2 linked regions of the Canis lupus familiaris genome follow. The protein of the gene in region 1 interacts with the protein of each later gene in a biochemical or structural test. Links are inferred from orthologs where the notes say so. Each region holds a gene or a part of one and is shown on either strand. Other genes may lie near its edges.

What was found.
Region 2: the proteins of TOM1 (region 1) and TOLLIP form a complex in vitro, tested with the Homo sapiens proteins (3 studies listed by BioGRID and IntAct, with this or other methods). The link is inferred for Canis lupus familiaris from reciprocal best matches to the Homo sapiens genes TOM1 and TOLLIP.

What each region holds. Positions count from the first base shown.
Region 1 is NC_049231.1:29,817,961-29,823,579, forward strand, and holds the start of TOM1 (target of Myb protein 1), read right to left. Parts: upstream 3,377-5,619; 5' UTR 3,270-3,376; coding exon 3,218-3,269; intron 1-3,217.
Region 2 is NC_049239.1:46,008,833-46,013,814, reverse strand, and holds part of TOLLIP (toll-interacting protein), read left to right. Parts: intron 1-631; coding exon 632-722; intron 723-3,675; coding exon 3,676-3,890; 3' UTR 3,891-4,982. UniProt on the Homo sapiens protein: Component of the signaling pathway of IL-1 and Toll-like receptors. Inhibits cell activation by microbial products. Recruits IRAK1 to the IL-1 receptor complex. Inhibits IRAK1 phosphorylation and kinase activity.

The DNA of each region.
Region 1 (5,619 bases):
GGCTGAGTGACCTGGCAATGTGCACAGACTCACGTGTATACCATAATCAGCAAAGCTAATCTGTGGCTCTTGGAAGGCGGGACTAACATAAATCCCAAGTATGCACTGATCAGCCAGATACAGGGTGGTGAGGGGTAGGAGAGGATGGGTGCTCTGGGCCAGAGAAACCTGGGTCCGGATTCTGACCCCGAGTAGCTGTGAGATGATATGTTCTCTCACACTTCTGGTAAAATGGAAAAAACAGCAAAACCTTATAGGGTCACCGTGGATATTAATAACCAGGGTACCAGCATGGTCCCTGGCACATGGTATTTGCTCACAGGAGGTCACTTTCTTTTTCCCCTTTCTTCCCTCCTACTATGGGCTAGCAACCATGCCAGGTGCCAAGGGTCCTGACCAGTAAGGTCCAGTCCCTGCTCTTAGGAAGTCTAGTTTAGCTGGGGAGACACATATGTGCAACTACTAACAGAATGGGACAGGGCTCCATTAGTGTGCGATGGTGGAAATAATAGAAACAATGATGAGGACAGCAAGAGCTAATTCACTCACAATGTGCCAGGCACTCCCGGGGCGGGGCGGGGTGGGGGGGTGGTCCTCGCTTCACTCTCACTACCACCCAACCCGGAGAGGCAGATGCTCTTGTAGCCACCATTCCACCCAGGAGGAAATAGAGGTTCAGAGCCCAAAGGCAGAGAATGAAGAAGCCTGAGGAATGGGGATGATGGAAGAGCATGAAAGCAACAGCTGGATCTGAAGGGGTCAGGAAGGGGGTCAGGGAAGGCCTCAGGGAGGAGGTGACAATGTCTGAGCTTTGAAGGATGCACACTGGAGCAGGCATTCCACGAAAGTGCTTGGGTATGAGGGTGGATGAGAGCTTTATGAGTTGAGTGACATCCCTGATAAGTACCACTGGAACTCGCTGTGCTCAGGGATGCCAATTCTACAGGGCCCTACTCACAATAGGGGGGTGGAGTTGGCAACCTTGAGATTATTTTACTACTATAGTTTACAGAACTACTAGGTCGTCAATAATCACAGGCAATCTCTTTCTCTAAAAGAGAAAACATGGAATACTGAAGGCATTTGCTCAAATGGCAGCTATTCTTCATTTAATTCTACTTTGAGAGCCTCTTCAGCTTTGGTTCAAATTTCATTGGTTCTGGGGAGTTCATCACACTTCACTACCAATTCACTGGGGGCCTGGGTGAGTCAGAGTCTCCACCTTTTCTCCAGCCTCTGTCTTCTCCTGTGTAAAATGAAGGGGATGGGCCAGAATGGAAGTTTTCAACATGTGGTTTCCAATCCAGTGGCATTAGCATCACCTGGGAATTTGTCAGTAATGCATATTCTTGGGCAAACTCCAGACCTACAGAGTCAGAAACTCTTGGGGTGGGGCCCAGTCAGCCATCTGTCTTTAACAAGTCTTCCAGGGAATTCCGATGAGAACCCTGAGTTAGAAGACCCCCAGGGTAAGGATCCTTCCAGGAGTAAAATTTGGTTTGGGCTCTGAAGTATTATGACTTAGTAGTATTCTCTTTGGACAGAGTATTTCTTGCCACAGACAGGCAACCCTCAGGATAGGAAGAGAAGCTGTTTTTTTTTGACTAGCTAAAGCCCAGAGCCCAGGTGAGCTTTTCTACAAAGGTTCAGCAAACGTGGCTGACTTTGAAGGTCAGAATTTTTTGTTTTAAAGTAGGAAGTCTCAAACTTGGCATGTGATGAGAGCAGTGGTATCTGTTGTTGGAGAAATAAAGATGAGGGGAGAGCCACTTTCTCTTTTCAGCTCCAAAACAATGACTCATTGCAGGGTGTGTGTGTGGCAGGCAGTGGGGAGGGTGTTCCTCAGAGGGCAGCTTCACCTCCCTGGTCCAGGAGCGCTCTGGTTCGCAAATTAATCCTGGACTTCTACTCTCCTCTTGGAGAAGTCTGATTACAAAACCTCACAAGAGCCACTGACAGCCTTGGTGCCGATGACATCGCAGAGCTGGGTTGACAGTTAAGTGAAGTTTGGCTTCCAAGACCATAAGAAAGGAAAAAATGTCTAAAAGGTCCAATTTTCCCAGTCTAGACTGAACGCTAAGGGCCATCAAGAGGTCGAAGGGAGAATATCACAGTTTCCTAATGCGGGGAGGCACATCCAGGCTGTCCCAAAGGGGAAGTGTTAGCGGTGTGGCCCAGGGCCTGTGGTTCCTCCCCGTGCTGATGCACAGCAAGGAGCACCTAGGAGACTCTCCACACAGCTATTTCCAGGGATTCCTGACCCTCACTTCCTGGCATCTCCCTAACAATGACGATAAATATATATTATCACTTTGTTTTATATTAGCAGGGCCATGTGCCAGGCACGGTTCCCAGTACTTTACAATTATTAAGGAGCTGAAGCTTCACAACAACCCCACGGAAGCAGGGGCTATTAATATGCCCCTAATTATAGGTGAGGAGGAAACAGAGGCGGCGATGTCAACAGAGGGCAGGAAGAGTCGGGAGGCCGGGGCTCGGAGTGAGCCTGTGCCTCCGGCCAGAGTGCCTGGCCCACCCGCCTACGAGAAACGAAGGAGGCGGAATCAGGAGGTTCCTGAGGTCGCTTCCAGCTCGGGAGCCTGCGACCGTGCCGCCGGCTGCTGCTGGTCTGGCGGGATCGCCAGGGTCCGGCCGGGGGCCGCGCGCAGCAGGGCTGCCGGGCCTGGTCCCCGCAAGTCGCCGGCCCCGACGCCAAGCGCGTCTCCGGATCCTGGGCGAATGGGCTTCTAGCCCCTCTCCGGTACCTGTGTCCCGAGAGCCTGGCGAGCCAAGAGGGAGACGGCCAGGCCCCGGCGGCCGGACCCGGGCTGCGGAAGGGACGAGGGAGACGGGCCAGTGGCCCGAGGGCCGTAAACCACGCTGCCCCTTCAGCCCCCGAAACTTTCTCCCCGGATTCGGGACCCCAGCAGCCACGCATTGGCTGAGCCGCGGCCACCAGGACCCGCCCCCTTTCTTTTGCTATTGGCTAGCCTAGGCATCCACCACAAGGCGAGGCTTCCTAGTGGAGCGCGGCTTTTGTCAATCAAGGTGGGCGGGAGGCTGGGCGGGGCCAGGTCGGGGAGAGACACGCCAGCCTAGTTCTCCCAGCCTCCCTCCAGAGGGTGGCTTGGGACCTGGAGGCGCCCCGGGGCCCCCCGGGGACCGAGGCTGGGTGCGGGGCCCTGCGGCGGGGCGAGGCGGCGCTCCGGGGACTCACCGATGCGCTGGCCCACCGGAGAGCTGAACGGGTTTCCCAGGAGAAAGTCCATCGCTGCGGGCGCCTCAGCCGCCAACCGGGGGAATCAGCTGACGGCAACCGCCGCGCTGCCGACCCGTCACGTGACGCGCCGGACGGCCCGCGAGGAGGCGCCTGTGGAGGCGGGGCGTAGGGAGGCGAGCGTGGCCACAGGCCCCGCCCCTGACGTGAAGGCCACAGGCCTCGCCCCTCGAGCCGGGCGGAGGGCGATGACCTCACGGCAACTCGCTCGGCGTCTGCGGACGTCACGCACGACGTGGGGCTGGGCGGGCCAGGGGCGTGGCCTCTCCAAGCCCCGCCCCAGGCCTTATTCAGGGGCGTGGCCCAGCACCGCGAGCTTCAGCGGAACAGGGTCTCGGAGCCGGGAAGTGCCTGGGGTAGGGTCACAGGGCAAGCTCAGACCCGGTTTCACGCCGGTGACGTCGCTAGGCCACGCCCCCACCGCCGGCGGCGACAGCATCTCTGGCTCGTCGTCTCCCAGCCCCGACAGAGCGCTTCCTCCCTGGACACAGAACCAGCCCAGTGACCCGCAGCGAGGAGCGGGCTGGAGCCCGGAGTAGCAGAGGCACCCGGAGGTGGTCACGGGTGGGCCTGGGACCCACCTCGGCTGTGATTCACACAGCGAGCTTCCATTTTTTCCGGATGCTGGAACTAGATCAAGGACTTTCTTCTTCTCTCTTTTTTTTTTTTAGGTCATAGGCTCCTTTGAGGACTTGAAGAAAACCATCAACCTTTCTGAAGAAAAAAGGGCAGAGAGACAATTTAACGTCAGGGACTTCCTAGGGTCCCAGAAGTCAGTGGACCCCAAGTTACGGACTTTAAGAATCTCAAAGGCCTTTCCTAGTTCTAGGATTCTGCTATCTTCCAACCTTCCTGTGTACCATGTTTTAGATATTTCACCCACACATTAGATCAGGTCGGACCTATTATGCTTTATTCTTTTGGTCATATGCAGTCTAGATACAATAATCACTGCTTTGGTAGTCTGGGCTACTGCTGGGAGCTTTAGTACTTAATCCACCACAGTATGTGATTTAAAAAAAATAAAAGATTTTATTTATTTATTTATCAGAGACATAGGCAGGAGAGGCAGGCTCACGGTGGGGAGACAGACCCCAGGACCCCAGGATCACACCCTGAGCTGAAGGCAGATGCTCAACCATTGAATCACCCAGGTGTCCCCAATTGGAAAGGCTAGGAATTGTACAAATATAGGATGATGGAGAACCTAAGCTAGAAGTTAATCACTTCCTTATGTTGACCTGTTTGAGCATACAGGGGCTGATACCTTTACTGTACAATATAAGAACTTTATGGAAGTCATGTACTCCTGTGCTTCAACAGTGCTCATGAGACCTATTCATAAATGCCCTTCTCCTCACCAGGCTAGCTACTCCGTGAGGGCTGGGATACTATGTCTACTTGACTCACCATCATTGTCTAGCACAGTGACTAATATATGAAAACTTATTTATTTTTAGAGATTTTATTTGAGAGAGAAAGTGAGCAGGGGGAGAGGCAGAGGGAGAACCACAAGCAGAGTCCTTTCCCCCACCCCAGCAGGGCTGGATCCCAGGATCCTGAGATCATGACCTGAGCTGATGTCAGAGGCTTAACTGAATGAGTCATCCAGTTTCCCCTGAAAATTTATTTATTTTAAAATATTTTATTTATTTATTCATGAGAGACACAGAGATTGAGGCAGAGACACAGGCAGAAGGAGGAGAAGCAGGCTCCATGCAAGGAGCCCGATGTGGGACTCGATCCCGGGATCCAGGATCATGCCCTGGGCCAAAGGCAGATGCTCAACCGCTGAGTCACCCAGGCGTCCCTCCCCTGAAAATTTAAATCAACCTACCAAATAATGTATTTGGACTATAAAGGGGTGGGAGGATGTACATTTAAGATGACTTCCATGTCAGGTATCTTCCATGTTTTTCTTCATTTAAGCACATTGCAGTTGTATTTTAGCATAAACTTCTTTTGAATTCTTCCATTAGCAACCTTTAACATGCTCATGTTTCGTGGTTATTTCCCTGAATGAAGTTCTTACCTCCTTGCACCACTCTGGTTTAAAGTGATTATGGGCAGAAGATCTTGGATATATTGACAAGAATTAAACAGCCACAGGTTGTATCCTTCATGGTGAAAGCAGAAACAACACCCATACTCTCAAACAGGGAGTGAAATCATATCAATTTCATGCAAACAGAATACTGTATAGTTCTTAAATAAGAAATGGAAATATGTGGATTTGCCAACACAAAAGACAGGAATGTAAATGGCAAACAGTAAATGTAGTATAAAACTGATCAAAACCATATTTTAAAAGTGATTGCTGGGCACCTGGCTGGCTCATTGGT
Region 2 (4,982 bases), on another chromosome or scaffold:
GCAGCCATTTGTCCCTGAGGGACTGGGACCTTGGCCCGCGGGCGTCAGGCAATCTAGTGGGAGGAGCAGCATGGTGTGGGGGTCTATTCCTCGGTGTACAGGCTTCCTCATGGCCAGAGCAGGTCCTCCATGTAGTGGTCAGAGGTCTCAGGACCACGCAGAGTGTAAGGGAGCAGATGCTGGCCCGTAGGTCCCCTGCCTTGTGCGGCTCCATGTCCGCGGCCCACTGCTCTTGGGGCAGGTGGGGTCTGGGACCTTTGTGTCACCGAGGTGGTGGTGGTGTCCCTGTTTTAACTCTGCCTCAAGGAGGTTCCCAGCCTGACTGTTGGAAAACAAGTCCTAGCTCCGTGTGACTTTACTCATAAACATTTCATTCATTATACGGCAAATGCTTTCACAGGAGCACGTAACCCCAACTGTAGTAACTGAGTGAATAGTGTGTTAGAGGCTGTCAGGAAAGTGCTTTCAGGTCCTGAAAGTGCTCATTTGCTTCCTGGGGAACGTTCCCGTCTGACCCTATGTCAGGCAGCCGTGGCTCACCCGGGCCTTCCACCAAGACGGTGTCAGGATGTCCGTTTCGGTGTGTGCTGTGCACTCCTATGACCCCGTGATTATATTTGGTGTATTCCAGTCGCTGCCAGCCACCGTCATGATGCCGCCTCAGCCTGTGGTCCTGATGCCCACCGTGTACCAGCAAGGCGTAGGCTACGTGCCCATCACAGGTGCGTGCCACTCCCCATCCCCAGCACTGTCCTCAGGGGCTTGGAGTGCCGTGCGGAGGCTTAGGTCTGGATGTGACTCATGAGGACCTTTCCAAACGCAAGGGGTCTGGTCTGAAGCTTGAGTTTTTTATGTGTCTGTAGGATATAGAATATTTTTCCCCAGACTGTTGGCAAGTTGAACTTTTATGGAGGTGGAGAAGTGTAATCTCTGAACACGTTAGTGTGTGAGTTACTGTCTCGAAAGATCCTGCACTATGGGGCGAAGTGAGCTGTGAGCCCTGATGTTCCTGTTGTGTTTATTCGTCTTTGTAAAGTAACACTTTGTGGCAGCCTAGTAAAATCCAGTTGGATTGCTTTCATGCTTTTGAATTTTCAAATATTAACACCAGCCATTGGTTCGCTTCTGCTCTGTCTGTGATGGTAACTGGATTCCACTGTTCCCTGCTGCAAACAGCCATAAAACTGGGCATAACAGATGAAGCGGCAGCTTGTTCGGGCTCAGCAAGCAGGCCTTGCAGGACTGTGATCCCCGAGAGAAGGGAGGCAGCGGAGCCCTGAGTTACCGTGCTCTCTGCCAGAGGCGGTGTCGTATAGGGAGCTGGGTCGCAGCATGGTGCTGTGGTCGCATCGTACCAAAGGGGCTGGACTGGGGCAGGACACTGGCGCGCGGGGCTGGGGTGGCATGGGGCGCCCTGGGGTTTCCGCCCACCCAGAGAAGAGAGGTCTCGTTATTGTGCAGTTGTGGCTGGTGCAGGACCGGGGTGTTGCCTCAGGCTTACTTTCACCCTGACGGAGCCTAAACACAGCCCAGCAAGGACGGGCACAGAGCTGGGAGGCTGCATCTACCTCTGAGGTGTTCACACCGGTTCCAGACTTTTGGGGAGAACTGCGGGGAAGTGTAAGCCCTGGTTGGGTCAGAACCAGCTGATGGGAAATGGCCTTGGTGATCAAAGAGCTGTGGAACAGCCAGGATGAGTTTCTAGAGAACGTCTTACCAAGTGAGAAGAAGGAGTCTCTGTAGAGATGCAGAAACTCCTCAGAAAGCCAAGGGGACGTTCGTGCCCCAGGAGAGCACCACGAGTGGGGAGAGCGGCTCGTGCTGCTGGAGCGGCTGCGGCTGGCCTTGGGGGTCTCTGCTCTGTGCTGATGTCTGCCCGAGGATCTTGTCCTTCCTTGCCCCTTCACGGCAGCAGTTTCAGGCTCTGTGTGACATTGTCTCACTCCCATGTTAGAGGTTTGAGGAGGAACAGGTGCCTTCGGGGGCTCTCCAAAGGTAGTGAGTGTCCTGGGGCAGCCGGAACAAAGGCCCATGGAGGCACCTCTGCTTCACACAGCAGAAATCTCTGCTCTCCATTCTGGAGGCCAAAGTCTAAACTCAGGGTGTGGGTGGGGCCCTTCCAGACCCTTCCTGCTGCAGCCTCCGCCCCATGACCCCATGGCCCCTCCTGGGTGTCTGTGCCAGCATCTGAGGTGCCCATCTAATCAAGACTTTGCTCAGGACAACCTGGCTCTCACCCACCTTCCAGATAAGGTCTCGCTCACACGTGCCCAGGCTGGCGCCTCACACATCTTTCTGAGGGGCACATTTGAGCTACAGGATCAGCAGCACGAGGACGTGTTTGGTTAACGGAAAGTCCATGTTCTCGGGAGATGAGATGTGTTTTTCTGGTTCCATAGTTTTCTTTGTGAGTCTTTGAGGTTTGTCTTAAGAGGTTTATTCTGGGAAAGGCCAGACTTCTGTATAAATGGAGACTTTGAACTTCTCTTTTGATGCATGTTTGTAAGCTTTGGAATAGTCAGCTACTCGCAGGAAGTGACCAAGGAGAGGAAGGAGCTTTTGCCTGGATCTCTTGAGGCCAAGCTGCCCACTGGCTCCTGTGTGTTTCCTACAGACAGGAACTTGTGCCAGCTGCCTGTGTTTGTGTGAAGTTTGTGCTGCTTCAGAATCTTCTTTGGTGTGAATAACTTATTTCCATGATCTTGTCAAGGTGTGCGTGCATGTATGTGTGTGCACATAGGTCTGCGTCATTGGTATGCATGTGTGTGTGGCACATGTGTGCACGTGTGATCTACAGCATTGGTATGCATGTGCTTGGCATGCATGTGCACACGTGTGATGTGAGGTGTGTGCATACATGTGTGTACATGTGTGATCTACAGCATTGGTGTGTATGCGTGTGTGGCACCTGTGTGCATATGTGTGATGTGAGGGGTGTATGCATGCGTCTGTGGACCCTGCTTCCGCAGGAGGGGTGCTGCCTGCAGCTGCTGCCCCCTAACAGGTGGGAGTCCCACGGGAGAGATAACCCTGGGGTGGGTTGAGAGCCTCCCCCCAGTTCTCTTGCACTGTGGGATCTGTGCGCTGAAGCAGTTCCCAGGAGGGGAGGGGGCCGTGGAGCCAGTGTGTGAAGGACGGCAGTGCCCACCAGATGCTGACAGTGCCGCCCAGTGTGGGAAAGCCCTCATGCTGCTGTCCTGCCCCATGTTCCCACCCATTCTGCAGATAGTTGACTGGAAAGTTGGGCTCTCAGCACCTCACCACCTTGACCCAGGATGGAACGTGCTCCTGGGTGTGTGCCTCGCTCTCGGGCTTCACGTGCTTGTTGGCATCAGAGGGATCCACCTGGTGCCCTGCCTGTACCATAGTCGCCACCTGATGTCTAGCTTCTGTCCCCTGTGCCATTCTGTTCTCTGACAGAATTGCTTTGTGGTCTTGGGTCCGTGAAAATTGGCATCTGGTATGGTATCATCCGGAACTTTGAAGGGACCACAGCGCAAGCAGCCTGTCCTAGCTCTGAGTGCGTGGTATAAACCTGCTGGGGAGGAAAGCTGTAGGAAATGGGGATGTGCGTGGAGGCTGTGGGCCAGGGGCACACGTCTTTGCTCCAAAGACGAGCTTGGCGTGGGTGCCAGTCCCATCATGTGTTCCCTAAACCGCGTCTTGTGGTTGCAGGTGTGCCTGCAGTGTGCAGCCCCGGTGTGGTGCCCGTGGCCCTGCCCCCAGCCGCCGTGAGCACCCAGCCCCGCTGCAGTGAGGAGGATCTCAAAGCCATCCAGGACATGTTCCCCAACATGGACCGGGAGGTGATCCGCTCCGTGCTGGAAGCCCAGAGAGGGGACAGGGACGCAGCCATCAACTCCCTGCTCCAGATGGGTGAAGAGTCCTAGAGCCCCGGCCGCCATATCACCTCGGCCCTCCCGACTTGCTGGCCCGGCCCCCTGCCCCCCATTCCCGTGAAGGAGCCCCGTGTAGCCTTTTCTTGGACGTCTGTAGTCCCAGTCCTCACCCTCGTTTGGGATGCATGTGGGTTGTCGCTTCCTGACCATGGAGCGCCACCATCACTCGGGTGTGGGTGTGAGTGGCTCTCCTCCTGGCTTCGCTGGGAGAAGAGCGGGCACGTGGGCCACGTCCCGCGTACGCACACTTGCCTGCCTGCTGCTTGGAGACATGTGTGTTCGAGTGCCGTGTCTTCTCCGCCGCACGCTGTCCCAAGAATGCTTTCTATGAGCAGCCTGCCTCTGCCAGCGCTTTAGAAAGTGTTGCGCGTCCTCCAGGTTTGATTAATGGCATGCAGTTATTTTACTTAACTGGAGTAATCTATTCTTTCAGGCACGTAGAGCATTTAACACCTAATTTGGGGTTATTTTTACGGCTCTCAAACTTAAATTCATGTTTTTCTGTTGACGCTCCTTGTTTGCAGTCCTGGGCTGCTCATCGGTATCCTGGGCGGGCTGACCTCTGTGTCAGCATGGCTGCAGAATGCACCGGATCCAGGGTGGGCCAAGCCCGGCAGCCCACCTGACCCCCCGCGGGCTCTGGAGCAGGGCCATCCCAGGCCCCAGGGACCCCATTATGCCTTTTCCTGCTGTGTCTCATGCCAACTTTGTGGGGTGTTACTCGAGGGCTTGCTGCTCCTCTTTCTGACCAGCTCTTGGAATAGAACCTGAAGAGTGGGTGTAAGAGGTGGTAGGTCCAGTGCTTTGTATCTGTTTATTAAAGGGTACTTAGGAACCGTTGGCTACTACTGATGTTAATTTAACTAAACGTACCAGTCCTGGGAATTCACTGTGGATGAAAGAAGTAATCATCTGGTGAACATTTCAGTTTTCCCAGGAGATAGGTGTGTGTGCTGCGCCGTGGGCTGCGTGGCGGCCATGGCCACAGGACTGGGACAGGTGGGGGGACACCTCATAAAAATCAGCAACATAAGAGGTTTGTCAAGTGCTGCTTCCAGCCCGCACATGGGCACCACACACTTG